2 linked regions of the Pelodiscus sinensis genome follow. The protein of the gene in region 1 interacts with the protein of each later gene in a pairwise test. Links are inferred from orthologs where the notes say so. Each region holds a gene or a part of one and is shown in the gene's direction. Other genes may lie near its edges.

Region 1 (7,858 bases):
TTTTGGTGCAGGGTTTTTTTCAGGGCCATCCCAGTAGCTTACCAGGCCACTCCACTGATAGATGTGCTGTTCAGTCACTATATATTTGAATAGTAATAGAGAGGTAGCCATGTTCGTCTGGTCTAGCTGAAACCTAAGACAGGACTATGCAGCACTTTAAAGACTAACAAGATGGTTTATTAGGTGATGAGCTTTCGTGGGCCAGACCCACTTCCTCGGATCAAATTGTATCCCTTTGGTCATGCCAATTTTCTTCCACAATTTGATCTGAGGAAGTGGGTCTGGCCCACGAAAGCTCATCACCTAATAAACCATCTTGTTAGTCTTTAAAGTGCTGCATAGTTCTGTCTATATATTTGAATGTTTCAGTTGCATACACTGATCGCTTCCCAAGGGCAGCTCAGCATAACACCTCCCTTTGCCAATCAGGCGCCACAAGAACCATTATAGCCTCCAAACTGTGGAAAGCCTGAAATTGTACAAATCCCTTTTGTAGCATGGCCGGAGCTGCCCCCCTACATCCAAATGCTTCTGCTCTCTTCAGGGGAAAACAGCCTTTTTAATTTTCAATTGTGTCAGTGCTTCTTTCACTGTGAATAACCTGACTGTGTTCGAGGAACGTCTCTGCATCCCATTCACAATATATTGACATTCCGTTTGGAAAAGTAACATTTTAATGTCTTTCAGATTCGCAAGGATATTTTCTGTGCTCCTGTATTGAGCTCTGAGAGACAATAACCTCGTGTCGTGTCCTATTCCAGGCCACTCAACCACTGCCTCTGTAGCTCCATAGCTCGCCCCCACTGCAACAGGAGCCTGGATCAATCTACCTTTCTTTGTCGCACCAACAAGAAGCATTTCTGTGATGAACTCACAGCTGAATTTCTGCAGAGAGTCAACAAGAAGGCACAGTGCTAAGCAAACAGAGGGGCTATGTCTACACTCGCCCCTTCTTCGGAAGAGGCATGCTAATTTCTAACTTTGGAATAAGGAAATCCGCGGGAGATTTAAATATCCCGCGCGGGATTTAAATAAACATGGCCACCGCTTTTTTTCCGGCTTGGGGAAAAGCCGGAAAAGAGCGTCCAGACTGGCACGATCATCCGGAATAAAGCCCTATTCCGGAGGATCTCTTATTCCTGCAAGTATTTAAATCCCCCGCGGATTTCCCTATTCCAAAGTTAGAAATTAGCATGCCTCTTCCAAAGAAGGGGCCAGTCTAGACACAGCGAGGGTCTTGAGAAAGAGGAAAGGTATGGTGAGAGGCAACAGGAAAAGCGCAGGCTGGTGCATAGTATGGAGGACAAAGTTGCGGGACCAGACTTTTGCTTCATAGTTCCTAGAAAAGGAACAGCAGCTGTTGGAAGATGAGAGAGCTCAGCAGAAAACTGTTTGAGTGTCTGCTGTCACTAGTGACTGCAGAAGTATCCTGCTGCACCCACACTATGGCCCAAGTCCCCTTTCTGGTACCATGGGCTGCAGCACAGACAGAGCTTGGACATCTCGGATTACAGGATTTGAACTCTGGAAAGCTGGGTTCCTATTTGACCTTTATTACCTGGTGTGTGGCTTAGCTCAGCCTCTGCTTCAGCCAACACTAAAATCAGTTACACTGATTAAAATAAGTTGATATAAATCGGCCTTAAAAAAATTTTGCTTCTTGGTGGTGACATGATTATCTGTTCTTTTCATTCCTTCTGGGGCACCTGGCATTGGTCATGGTCTGAAACAGGATACTGGGCTAGATGGACCTTTGGTCTCACTCACTATGGCTATTCTTATGTTCTTAAACTTAATGGATGGCACTGGGTAAGCAAGCAGAATGGAGAGAGGCTGTTCTCAGTGGTGACAGATAGAAGAACAAGGAGCAATGGTCTCAAGTTGCAGTGGCATGGTGGGGTCTAGGTTGGATATTAGGAAAAACTATTTACCTAGGAGAGTGGTGAAGCACTGGAATGGGTTTCCTAAGGAGGTGATGGAATCTCCATCTCTACAGGGCTGTGTCTACACTGGCCCCTTCTTCGGAATAGGCATGCTAATTTAGAACTTTGGAATCGGGAAATGCGCGGGGGATTTAAATATCCCCCGCGGGATTTAAATAAACATGGCCGCCGCTTTTTTTCCGGCTTGGGGAAAAGCCGGAAAAGAGCGTCCAGACTGGCGCGATCCTCCGGAATAAAGCCCTATTCCGGAGGATCTCTTATTCCTACTTGAATAAGAGGAATAAGAGATCCTCTGGAATAGGGCTTTATTGCGGAGGATCGCACCAGTCTGGACGCTCTTTTCCGGCTTTTCCCCAAGCTGGAAAAAAAGCGGCGGCCATGTTTATTTAAATCCCACGGGGGATATTTAAATCCCCCGCGCATTTCCCTATTCCAAAGTTCTAAATTAGCATGCCTATTCCGAAGAAGGGGCCAGTGTAGACATAGCCCAGGTGTTTAAGTCCCGGCTTGACAGAGTCCTGGCTGGGATGATTTAGTTGGGGTTGGTCCTGCTTTGGGCAGGGGGCTGCACTTGATGACTCCTGAGATCTCTTCCAGCCCTAAGATTCTGTGTGTGCATGTGCAGACCCATTTGTGCAATAATTTTGCAAAACTGATATATATTTACAGATCTGAGATGGCTGACTCATTCATTAAGAAGTTATCTTGGTTAGTAACTGGCTTGTGAACTGATACTGATTTCCCTGGAATGTCTACTGTTTATAAATGTCCACTGAATAACTTGAATGAACAATGGCCAGATTGTAGCTTATTTACAAATTGTTCACTTCAACTATTTGCTATTTCTGTTGTTCACTTGGTCAACTGAATTGTGTGTACATTTTCTGCACCTTAACTGGATGACTGAGCTTTTTTAAACATGAACGAATGACAAATACTGAATAAGGTATAGTAATAATACATGGCTACGTCTAGATTGCATCCCTTTTTCGCAAAAGGGATGCAAATTAGACGTATCGCAATTGCTAATGAAGCGGGGATTTAAATCTCCCCCGCTTCATTAGCATAAAAATGGCTGCCGCTTTTTTCCGGCTCGGAGCTTTGCCGCCAAAAAGTGCCAGTCAAAACGTGGATCTTTCGGAAAAATAAAGCCTTTTCCGAAAGATCCCTTATCCCTCTTAAAATAAGGGATAAGGGATCTTTCGGAAAAGGCTTTATTTTCCGAAAGATCCGCGTCTAGACTGGCGCTTTTTCCTGGCAAAGCTCCGAGCCGGAAAAAAGCGGCAGCCATTTTTATGCTAATGAAGCAGGGGAGATTTTAAATCCCCGCTTCATTTACAATTGCGATACGTCTAATTTGCATCCCTTTTAAGGAAAAGGGATGCAGTCTAGACACAGTCCATGAGTCTTATCTAATGCTGTACACCAGATCTCAACACACTTTACCAAGGAGATTGGCATCATCCCGTTTTACAGACAGGGAAACACAGGAAATTATTTGTTTAAGGTCACATAACAGGTTAGTGACAGAACTGGGACTATATCCGAGTCTCTTAGGCAGAGCTCAGACCTCTAGGATAGGGCCCACTCTTTCTAGTACACATTTTCAGACTACTAATTTGTTAGAAACTATGGGAGACCTTCTGGATTCAGAATTGTTTTCATAAGTGACTGCTGACTGGCCAGACGCGAATGGCTTATGGATTCCATGAATGATAGCAACCTGAATATGGCACTTTTATTCGGAACAAAGCCTTCGCCCCTGTTTTCGGTTTGGATCCTTCCCCTGCGCCAAGGATTTTCGCTTTCAGGCGCGTATTTTGCTTCCAATGCCAAATGCTCGGGTCTAGGAATTTCCTGACGGGGGGGGGGGGGGGGGTCGAGGGACACACGGGGCACAGGAGAGTGGTGCAGCCCCTTTGCCTAGCCTCCCAGCTCTAACCAATCAGTTTCCCCTCCCCCATCCCCTTCCCACAGCCAGCTGGAGCTGCTCAGCGCCGGCTGCCTTCCCTTTGCTCTGTTGACAGAGGCAGTTATGGTGGGGTTGCAGGTGTGTGACTCACTCAAGTCACGAGCTCTGTCTTCCCCAGCAGCCGCAGCCAGCTCACCTCTTGGCGGCCCTGGGGAGGGGAGGAAGCCGCCCGACAGTCTGAAGTTCAAGCATTACAGGTGGTTATGCGCACACGAGCTGCGCTAGTCATACCCTGTTCGGAACAAAGGACACATCCGCTTCTTTGCCAGCAGATTACTCCCCGGCCAGTGTCCACCGCTCTGCCACCATCAGTTAAAACCCGCTGAGTCACGGCGAGTTTATGCTCTTGCTCAGCCCTTGCTTCTGCTTTAGTCACACACGCAGGCGTGCTGGAAAACAAGCCACAGAAGATCAGACCCCCAAAACAGAGACACGGGCCTAGAAACGTGACCCACTTTAGGAAAGGAATAAAAACCTGCGTAGCGCAGAACAGAAGCCGAGATTTTTTTCAGCCAAATATTTCCCATTTGATGATTTGCCCCTCCTCCTCCCCCCGTCCCTAGTTCTTCCCATACGTGCCTGTAATGGATCCGAAATGCTAGCAGGTATCGGATAGACAGTAAAGAAAGAGAATTTATATTTGAGTTTATTATTATTTTGCTTTGCAGCACATGATCCTCCCCTTTCACATGGAGTGGTTTAGCCCTGAAGCCCGTTTGTATCAGGAGTGTGTGGCTCAACCCATAGGACACAGAGTGGAGGGGGGAGACTAATTTTAAAATATATTTGAAAGAGTAAGCAGGGCCGTATTTTCAGTGATGCAGTATCGCATGATAATTCCGTGTTTGCACATATATCTTCGTGTATTTCATTAACAACCGTGTGCAAATGCGATTTAATTAATGTACAGTCTCTCCCTATTCTACAGGTGAAATGGTGCAGCCTAGAATGATGGAAGCTTCTCCCTGTGACATCACAATGCTGAATTTGCTACATCGTTGTTTGTGTTCCATGATCAGCTGTATTTCTGTAACCTGGGAAATTGACAGAAGAATTCAAAGCAGCACCGAAAACTCTCAGCTTACCCCAGAATTTGCTTGAAGCCTATATCTTTGATATCAAAGGCTTTAGAAGACACTTTAAATCAACAATCTCAAAAGGAAAAACTTGAGACACCAAAAAAACCCAGCATGAAGTTCCAGTACAAAGAAGATCATCCTTTTGAATACAGAAAAAAAGAAGGGGAGAAAATCAGAAAGAAATATCCAGACAGGGTCCCTGTGAGTGGAATATATTATTTTTCTTAGTATAGTGTATTGATTGCTGCCACCTTCTGTTCTTGATTTGCAGCTGATTATATTTTGCAAACAATTTGTGTAGCCTTGGTTTTATCAAATATTCTGTGGCTTATATTTTAAGGGTGAGGGATTTTTAAAGGATTTGGGGGTTGTTATTACTATATGTCCTGATCAGCTTTTAATCTGCTGTTTCCTGATCTGTGTTTATAGAACTATATCTGTTTGAGCTATGTTTATATACAAAGAATGATGCTATTTTAATATGTAAATGAGTGGTGGGGTCTATCTTGCTGCTCTCTCCACCCCCATAATCTGCAGCAATTTAGCAGGGAAAAATGCTGTTCATCTTTCTTATGACAGTCTCTGTGCATGTTGTGGGGAAGTGAGGAAAGTTAACCATTTTCTTTGCAAAAATGGTGGAAAATAGTATGTGAATTAATCATATAACCTTCATGGGGAAAACTGGAGGGCCTCTATGATGCCACCAGAGATCTTCCTTTCCTTTTAGTAGTTTTGTTTTGTCTTTTCAATACAACTGTGCTCTATCCTTGTCCTTGCATGTATGAGAAGATTTATAGCAATCACTCAGTCTTTTGACATCTCATTTAATCTCTTTGTGGGAAAAAAAAATCACGTAGAAAACAAGGTCACGTTCTCTCAGCCTAGCTGTGCTTCCTCATTCTGAGGTCCCTTTAGAGTGTTTTTGGAAAACTTCTACCTTTATTATAGTAATTAGAAAAGGGAAATGGCGAACTAAATTGATTTCTGTGGTTTCTTTTATTCGGTATATTCCAAATGTTCTTTCTTTTCATCCCCATTGGAGATGTCTGTCCTAGATTCAGGGGCTTCCTTCCAAAATAGTCTGTAATCCCCTATGGACACAAGGGGAACGAAAAACCTTGCCACACATTTTTGCCGCAATTCAGCACCATTTTCTTCTTTACTAGAGAGGCCCCATGATTGAACTTGCAAGCATTTTTGCAGGTTAGAATTGAGGTAGTGCCTAGGCATGTTGAGCACAGGACCAGAGTGGTAGGTGGGGATTGTTGCTAGTCAGAAATGAGATTCAGCGCCTTAGGCCTGGGATAATAAAGGGTGCCGCAGGTCAGAAGTGAGGTCAGGATTTGTGCTGCAGTCTGCGAATTAGAGTAGCAGGTTGTTCTGTGGGTAATGATGGATATGCATTGCAAGGGCTATGCGGAGGCCAGAACAGGAATAGCAAAGAGTGAGGCAGGTCAGGATTGAGATGCATTGGCAGATCTGGGCGGGGGTGGGAGGTGGGGAGGGGAAACTAAAACAGCGTGATATGCTGCAGGTTAAGGTGAAGAAGAAACTCTGTGTACAGAGGCCCAGACGGGAACAGCAGGAGGAAGTCCATTCAGCCACAGTGGAAAATACCTTCCTCAGAACCATTAGAAGAGGGCTACGTCTACACTGGCATGATTTTCCGGAAATGCTTAAAATGGAACAGTTTTCCGTTATAAGTATTTCCGGAAAAAGAGCATCTACACTGGCAGGATGCTTTTCCGGAAAAGCCCTTTTTGCGGAAAAGTGTCCGTGGCCAATGTAGACGCGGTTTTCCGGAAAAAAGCCCCGATTGCCATTTTCGCGATCGGGGCTTTTTTGTGGAAAAGACTACTAGGCTGTCTACACTGGCCCTTTTCCGGAACAGTTTTCTGGAAAAAGGACTTTTGCCCGAGCGGGAGCAGCATAGTTTTTCCGGAAAAGCAGCAGACTTCTTACAGTAGATCGTCAGTGCTTTTCCCAAAATTCAAGGGGCCAGTGTAGACAGCTGGCAGCTTATTCCGGAAAAGCAGCTGATTTTCCGGAATAAGTGGTCCAGTGTAGACACAGCCGAGCTGTATAGGAGATAATAGGAATTATCTGGCAAGCTTTTTTCAGTTATTTCTGTGACTTACTTTGCAGTGCACCCAGCAGATCTAAGCATTGTAATTGAGATGAGAGTGTTGGCACCCTCCCACACTACAGCAAACACCACCCATGACAATCAGGAGTTAATCTGCATTTGCCCTTTGGTTTTTCCTTTACTAAATGCCTCTCTCTCTCTCTTTCTGCAAACAGATTGTCAGGCCTTTGGGATCAGAATCCAGGGTGGGGGATGGACATAAAGTTCTAGTGACAGTTTGGATGGAGTATGGCTATTTTGAGAAGGTTTCAGGTTCTTAAGAATGGACACCTGGACAACTTAATTATTCAGACAAACCGAGTATCTATTCAAGCCAGTCAACCAAACATCCCCATACCATTTCTATCTCTTTAGAAGTGGTAGTTTCTGTTGGATGCCAGTGCTTTCTAGGGGGTGGTAATCCCAGTACCATCCCTTCTTCCTCCCCAGGCCCATACTTATTGTGACCTCGCCTTTCTTCCCTATCATGGGAAAAATCTTACTGGAATTCAATCTTTTATATAAAAAGGTGGCTTCATTGCTGCTTTCACTAAGTACTTCTTGTCAGTATCTTGGGAAATTGGAGGACAGAATGACTGTGGGGCTGTACTTTTCCTTCCCTCTTCTAGTCTTTTCCCCAATTTGCCCCCAACCCAGGCATACACTACACAGTTACATCCAGCAATACCATGACGTGCCCCAAGTGGTTAAGGTAATGGACTGCTAAGATACCATTCTT
Region 2 (7,716 bases), on another chromosome or scaffold:
CAGTCCTACCTCTCAGGTTGTACCTCGAAGCTCCTGGTGGAGGCCGGTTTGGTAACAGTCTGGTTTGAGAGTGCCACCTCGGTCCGCTGAACCTCGTCCTCAGGTGATTCCTCCAGGGAGGGGTCCTGGGTGACGGGGTCAATCAGCTCTGTTGGATCTGCAGTTCGGCGTACATGACTTGCGTGGATCCACGAGGGGCCCTCCTTCACCTTTACTGCTGTGTGGGTGATGAACAGCAATTGGAACGGTCCTTTCCACCGGGCTGTCAGGGAATTCTTTCTGCGATGTTCCTTCACGAACACGTAGTCGCCTGGTTGGATGTTGTGGCACGGTACATCAGTAGGTACTGGGAGGGCTTCCTTTACCTGCAGATGCAAGCTCTTCTAACCGTCATTTTATGTCTAGGTTTTTTTCTTTCTGTGTGGCTGCTAGCCTGTGGGCCTCCTGCAACATTAAACTGCTTACAAATCACACATGAATTAGATATTCTTGAGACAGCTTCTAGGTGCATGCCTGGGGCGTACCATTGTTTTGGGATTTGTGAGGCCACCCCCCTTTTGCTCATGTGTGTCATTTGATGAGACACCTGAGCAAGCTGCCGTGTGAGAGATTTTTGGGGCGACTGGGCAGCCATCAGGTGCACCCATTATCCCAGCTGGGGATAAGGAGCAGCCTGCTCTCTCCCAAAGGTTTTTCTCTGCAGGTTGAGTAGCTTGCTGTAGTTCTATCAGGGCCTGCAAAGAAACAGGGAGGGAAAGAGAGACCAGAATCTGAAAGGGAGCCAGAGGTCCATGTTCTGCTGCATGTCTGGCTGCTGCATCAGCACTCCCATTACCCAGAGAAACAGGATCAGTGGCACCTGTGTGGGCCGGGCAATGGGTAATAGAGAGGGATGTGGGTAGCTGAATAGCATCAAGGAGTTGGGAGATAAGGGGACCATGCGAGATAGCAGAGCCAGAAGAGGTAAGGAAACCTCGCTGTTTCCAAATTTGTCCTGTGACATGACAGACAGAGAAAGCATACTTTGAGTTAGTATAAATGGCAGCAGACTGTCCGGACGCTAAAAGGCAAGCACGAATTAAAGCGATGAGCTCAGCAGCCTGAGCTGATTTTGATTCCTGGAAGAGAAAAGAACCTTTAAAACATTATTATCTGAGACCACTGCATATCCAGCCTTTAGTTTACCAACTGCATTTCTTTTACATGAGCTATCAGTATACAATACAAGAACTGCATTTTCCAGCAGTTGAGCAGACAAATCTTGGGGAGGCTTTACACAGTGCTCAAGCAATTCTTCACAGTTATGGGTATGTGCTTTACCAGTAGAGGGTAAAGGAGAAAAAGTAGCTGGGTTAAGTACATTACATCTTTGAATTACCACATTTGGGGAAGAGAGGATAACATTCTCATACAGGGTTTGTCTCTGAACAGATAGGTGCTGAGTGCGGTGTCGCTGTAAGAGAGCAGAGACAGCATGAGGGACCTGTAAGATAATGCTGTGGCCTAATGTGACAGGTTGGGCCTTTTTCAAGTAATTCAGCAGTAGCTGCAACTGCCCTCAGACAAAGTGGGAACCCACGGGCTACTGAGTCCAGTGTTGCAGAAAAATAAGCTACTGGACGAGGTGTGGGTCCAAGGGGTTGACAGAGAACTCCAGCTGCAATTCCATCCTGTTCATGACAAAACAGAGTAAAAGGCTTGCTATATTTAGGTAAGCCCACTGTGCAGAAGAGTTTTAAGGGAAAGGAAAGCAGATTCACATTCTGGGGACCAGGTCACTGGGTCAGGAGCTAAGATTAAGAGTAGAATAGTAAGGGGCCTGGTGAGTCCAGAAAAGTTAGGAATCCATTGTCTGCAATATCCTGCAGTACCCAGAAATTTGTATACCTGACTTTGGTGAAAGGGTGAGGAATGAAAAAAAAACTTGAGATTCGCTCAGGTGTTAACTGGCGGCCATCTCCTAAAAGTAAATGTTCCAAGTACTGAACTCTTTGTTTTACAAATTGCAATTTGGCTTTGGAAGCCTTGTGACCCTTATTAGCAAGACACTTTAACACATAGGAGGTATCAGTTTTACATCTTTCCTCAGTTTTACTAGCAATTAACACATCATCAACATACTGAACTAACACAGAACTGTAGGGAAGAGAGAGAGAATTAAGGTCAGCTTTTTTTTAAAAAACTGAGAAAACAGAGTAGGGCTTTTACAATAACTTTACAAAAACATGTCCAGGTTAATTGATGACCCTGAAAGGAAAAGGCAAAGAGAAATTGGGAATTCTTATGCACTGGAATAGAAAAGAAGGCAGAACATAAATCTATTACAGAAAACCAGGTTAGGTACTACTGGAAATCTAGGGATTACAAATTTATTAATGGCTCTTAGGTCTTCTATAAATCTATAGATTTGCTTTTTCACAGGTAGTATAGGTGTATTACATGGTGAAGTTGTATAAACAAGTATCCCTTGTTTAAGGAGGGAGAGATTACAGGCTTAATGCCCTCTTGTGCCTCCCTAGCCAATAGATACAGGGCTACCCTTGGGAAAGGCTTGTTGTGTCTGTATGTTGTTTGCACTGGTGTTGCAGAGGCTAGCAACCCCACTTCATTCACATGGGCTGCCCACAATGTCTCTGGGACATCTGAGAGGTCCAGGAGGGGTGTATATCCTGAGGTCTCATCAGATTCCTCTGAGAGTAGTAATGCCATCAATTTTGGGGTCTGATGGGGGGGAAGGTCAACAAATATCCCTTCCTCTCTACAGAGAAGGTTTGCACCCAATTTACACAACAAGTCATGTCCCATAAGGTTTACAAGAGAACAGGGAGATAACAGGAAAGAATGTTCAGCTGACAAGGGTCCAAAGCGGGGTGGGGGTGCAGATGGCACATCTGGGGAATCAAGCTGTTTAGAGAAGCCAATTCTTGCTGCAGCTTTTCAATAGAATCTTTTTTGCTAGCCATAGTGCTCTGATTATTTTTTTTTTTACTGTCACATCCTCCCAGAGGCACCAATATTCCATCTGGTTAGGATGTTTTTCCTCGAGGAAAACTCTAAGATAAGCAAGCTTTTGTAAGTCAAAGCTCTAGTTGCCATGTATTCTGGGAATTCCCCTGAGTATAGCCATCCCAAATGCTCAATAATTCCTTAAGTCTCCTTAGTTTCAAACCTGCAGGCAATACCTAGCTGACTGATCATCTGAGACAAGGGAGTCCCAGGCTGTGAGAAACCTTTTCTCTCAGTAGGAGACAGACTTGAGGGAGCAATCTTATCCATGTTAGCACTGTCTTGTCCAAGGACAGCACAGGAGCCCAACAGTACTACCCTCTCCAAGGATAGCACAGGCGTCCAGCAACACTACCCTCTCCAAGGATAGTGTGGGAGTCCACACAAACTGTCAGCTTCACTCACACTCCTTATGTGCCGGGGGAAACCGCCCTTGCTTTCAGCAGCTGTGCAGTGACACTGACAGCACTGGTGCGGCTGCGGTCCCCCTCCGGACTTCACTCACTCAAAACCATGTGCTTGGACTCGCCACCAATCAGTCAGCAACAACAACAACAACAACAACAACAAAATCCAACCCCTATTTGGCTATACCCAGTGTTTTCGTTTTAAGTTTCCCTCAAGCCTCTTAACAAAAAAAAATTTTAAGTAAAAGATGACTCTTACCGCCAGCCGGTCCAGCTGGTGACGAGAACAGGGAGGCGGACCGGGGGATTTTAAATGGATCCCTTACCCTCCAGATGCGCGCTGTAGTCCGTTCCCATTCCCCATCATCAGCCTTTCCAACTGGAGTTCCAAGCCATCCCACTTCTGACACCAAATTGAGGGGGAAATCTCGCTCCCCTGGGGTACAGAGCCCCCAGAAGGGTTCGAGGCCGGAGGTCAAATCAGTGAGGCAGGAAAGAAACTTAGAAGAGAAAACTTTATGATGCATGCATGCAGGCTGTCACTTCCAAGAGTGAAGCAGCAGCCCTGACAGACAGATTCAGGTATCCTATATACAGAATGCTTAGACAGTTCAGTTGTGGATTGTTCTTCTTTAACATATCAAAGTCTCAGCAGAAGTACTCTGAGACTTCTGTTCACCCCAGGAGTGCTAGAAGTAAGTTTTTACAGTACACAAAGCCACATGAGAACTTGAGTGGAGGAGTCTACAAGGCAAACTGTGACAAAGATAAGGGTTTACATGACAAATTGTGACAGACTAGGAGTATCCATGAATTTGAGATAGTCATTTGTAAGGGTCTTTGATTAGAGCTAATTTGATTTCTCTCTGTTACAGGGAGAAAGGCCTGGAAAACTTTTTAACCCTTACAGCAGTTTTCTTTTAGAAAGTTATGATTTCTGCACAGTTCCCCCCTTTAGACACAATTGGAGTTATTTGATTTTTCTCCCACACATGTTTGGATCAAGTTTCATGCATCTACATTCTGTTCTCTCAAAATATATTACAAAATGCAATGTGCATGCCTTCCATTCAAACAGACCTGTGTTTCAAGGGGAAAGGGGGAAGAGGGGAGCCAAAAGGGGGTTGCCTGACATTTCTGTTCTGTCCAATGTCTTCTAGTTTGCAAAATTTGGAATATTCAATAAGAGAGCAAGTGTCATTGCCTGAAGACTTTTAAATTGCAGGGTGGGGGGACGCAGGAGGAGGAGGAAAGGGAGAAATACAACTTGGAAAAGTGTATGGGAATGGAAATGATGCAGTCAGGTAGAGTAGAACTTACTGTCTGTCTTTCCTTTCAATTTGTCTGCCTGTCGGTGTTTAGACAAAAGTCATGTGAGCTTTTGAGCTGCGGAGCCTGAGGTGGAGGAGAATGTGTGAGTTAGTGCAGCATGCTGCTGGAGACCTTGCAGAGTGAGAGTGAGACAGAGATAGTGTGAGTGTAAAAGGGGGAAGTGCTGGGAGTTGTAGCAGCAGCAGCTGCCGCCACCTCGGAGCTAATGACTGGGATTCAGCTTCATCTCTAGCACGTTTTCAGCTCTCCAGAGGCATAGATGTTCCAGGTTCAAAAGCCATAAGAGATCAGTGACACCTCCAAGAGCCAAAAGGATGCTTCTACACTACTCTTAAAAGCATTTGTGTGAAGACTGATCCTTTTTCAGGACTGAAAGAGGTAATTTTTGAAATTTTGTTTCTCTTATTGAAAGGTGTCACATCTGAATGTGGTAAACGCTGAGGGAAGAATGGCACGCAATTGTGGTGAAAGGGGTGGATTCCACTCCCCTCCCCTCTTCATTGTAGTCAAGGCAGAAAGAGAACCTAGAGATTAGGGTACTGTTTGACTTTAAAAATGTGGCGAGAGGGGGAAACCAGAGGTGTGGAATTGAGCTGTTTCTAAACTGTTATCGTATCTCTTCTGTTTTGTTCCCAACCTGTAATCTCTGTTACCTGGAGAAAACTTCAGCCACGTATCTCATGGGCAGCATTTACCAGCACTTACCTGTTACGTTTAACAATTAAGCAATGTTACAATGTTGTTTCATTAAATGGTATTTATCTAAATATGCTTATTAAAGCACTCCCCTCCCCACTGATTTAGAAACACAGGTCTGTTTGAATGGAAAGTTTGCACATTGTGGTTCATTCACTCTCTCTCTCCTTTTTCTAGCATATTTCTGGCCTCCCTGTGTGTGGTCCCAGTGAACCCCATGGAGCCCCCTGTGCACATTTTCCGTGAAGAGCCAGGCTCCACCTGCTCTCCAGGCCCCTGCCTCCTCCCCAGCAGCAGCAGCTGGCTCCTGGGCTGGGCCGAGTATGGCAACAATGCCAGTGGTGGCTTTGAAGACTTGCAGCAGAACCACACCAACATTTCCCCAGCTATCCCTATTATCATCACTGCTGTTTACTCTGTGGTCTTTGTGGTTGGCTTGGTGGGCAACTCTCTTGTGATGTTTGTCATCATAAGGTAAGGGATCTTGGGGAGAAGTGTTTAGCTTTTGTGTACCAAACTAAAGAGGCTTCAAGTGACACCTCATTAGGAGGGATGTAAGGGAAGGGGTGGGGAGAAAGCTCTTTAGGAGATATAATGTACAAACTTGAGGAACCATAAGGAAGTGACCCAGCTGAGACGAAGTGCTTTCACTCCGTTTGGGAGCTATGCACATTTTTGGTTTTTTTGCCTAGGAGTACAACTTGAAACCCAAAGGAGAAATGGATTAGAAAGTTAATAAATCCTCTAGCCTTTGAGTTGGAGGAGAGGAGGTGCTGGTGGTGTACTGGAAGTGTGTGGCTAGAGCCCCCTCTAGAGTTGAAAAGCAGTTAATATTACAGAAAATGATGCACTACAATTAGGAAACTTCTATTAGGCATCCTTCCCCTAGGATATGCACCAAAAAAGAAAGGAACGGTTTATGATTTGCTTTATTATATTATCATAGTATCTCTTATAATATAAACACTTTCTAAAAATTGGAAAATCGGAATATAAAGATGGGAGTAGTTTTTCTTTAAATTAGGCTATTAAGATAGTTTTCAGGTTTAAATGGCATTGTTGCTTTTAGGTATGATGAAATCAAAGTAAGCATTGATAGGATTGCTTTTAATATTCCAAGTAACAGGAAAAAGGAGATTTTTATTTGCACTAATTGGTGTTCATGCTAAACAGTTTACTTAAATGCATCCATGTTTACACTTGTGTGTTGATGTTTATCTTTAATCCTTAGGAAATGATGGGGCTGTGACTTTTTTTCTCTATTTTTATAATTCCTATTTGCAATTACTGTATCAAAGTACGCCATGTAGTGCAGCTCAGAAGGTTTATACCTCACTTTCTGGTGAGTGAAATCATTCAACCCTTTGTCCTCCTGATTCATAATGTACTTGATTACTGCAATAAACACTGTGAAATTCGCTTTCTGGAGTGTTTTAATGCTACAGTAAAATAAGTCTCTGTATGAAAATTAAGCTGATATAAGTTCAAGAGGTTCTGGTGATCAAAACTGACTTTGTGTATGCCAAGCAATTCCAAAATAAGAGTGGAAAAATGTCATGATTGACTCAGTGTCTTCCGGTTATCGTCAATGTAGTTGTTGTTTACAATTTACTTTGAGAAGATCACTTACAGTCTGGTAAAGCTTCTTGAAAATGAAAAAATATCCCTTTAAATTCATCAAAGTAAATAATATGCTTGTCTGTCAATGTGAAATAATTATTTTGCTCCAAGTTGCAAATTTTATTTTCCTACCTGCTATCTTCTCTGTCCTTCACATACAGTAAGAACTGAAATCCCTTATGTACTAGGAGGACTGAGTCTTTTTCTGACACTCCAGTCATAAGGGGAGAGTTTCTTTAAGCTGTCAGTTTAATAGTGGCAATTAACTCGATGGGCAGTCAAAATAAACTCAGAGCCTCAACCCTGAATGCAAGCTAACATGTATTATACTTGAATGTGCGTGTTTCCTATCTGTCTTTCACTTCTTCCCTTCTGAGGGTTTTTGGTATCCCCTGCTACTTATACATTTCTTTCTTTTCTTCAACCCAATCTTATTGATCATTCCTCTTCGTGTCTCCCCACCTACACTTTTACATTGAAAAGCTTGAGATTTTTTCACAATGTTATTTGTCCTTCCCCTCCCCTTATTTCTCTGTGGCAAATGGTTGCTAATGTTCCAGCATATATAAAATCTAATTTAAAAATGTTCAATTGGTGTTGCACTGAGTGTCCCTATCTGATTTTTTTTTTCATAATCTAGTGAAAAATGTATTGC

What was found.
Region 2: the proteins of GABARAPL1 (region 1) and OPRK1 interact in binary tests that used the Homo sapiens proteins (3 or more experiments, as listed by UniProt). The link is inferred for Pelodiscus sinensis from reciprocal best matches to the Homo sapiens genes GABARAPL1 and OPRK1.

The regions. Positions count from the first base shown.
Region 1 is NC_134711.1:135,297,361-135,305,218, forward strand, and holds the start of GABARAPL1 (gamma-aminobutyric acid receptor-associated protein-like 1), read left to right. Parts: upstream 1-4,843; 5' UTR 4,844-5,105; coding exon 5,106-5,195; intron 5,196-7,858. UniProt on the Homo sapiens protein: Ubiquitin-like modifier that increases cell-surface expression of kappa-type opioid receptor through facilitating anterograde intracellular trafficking of the receptor. Involved in formation of autophagosomal vacuoles.
Region 2 is NC_134712.1:66,150,398-66,158,113, forward strand, and holds the start of OPRK1 (kappa-type opioid receptor), read left to right. Parts: upstream 1-4,711; 5' UTR 4,712-5,123; intron 5,124-5,618; 5' UTR 5,619-5,658; coding exon 5,659-5,915; intron 5,916-7,716. UniProt on the Homo sapiens protein: G-protein coupled opioid receptor that functions as a receptor for endogenous alpha-neoendorphins and dynorphins, but has low affinity for beta-endorphins.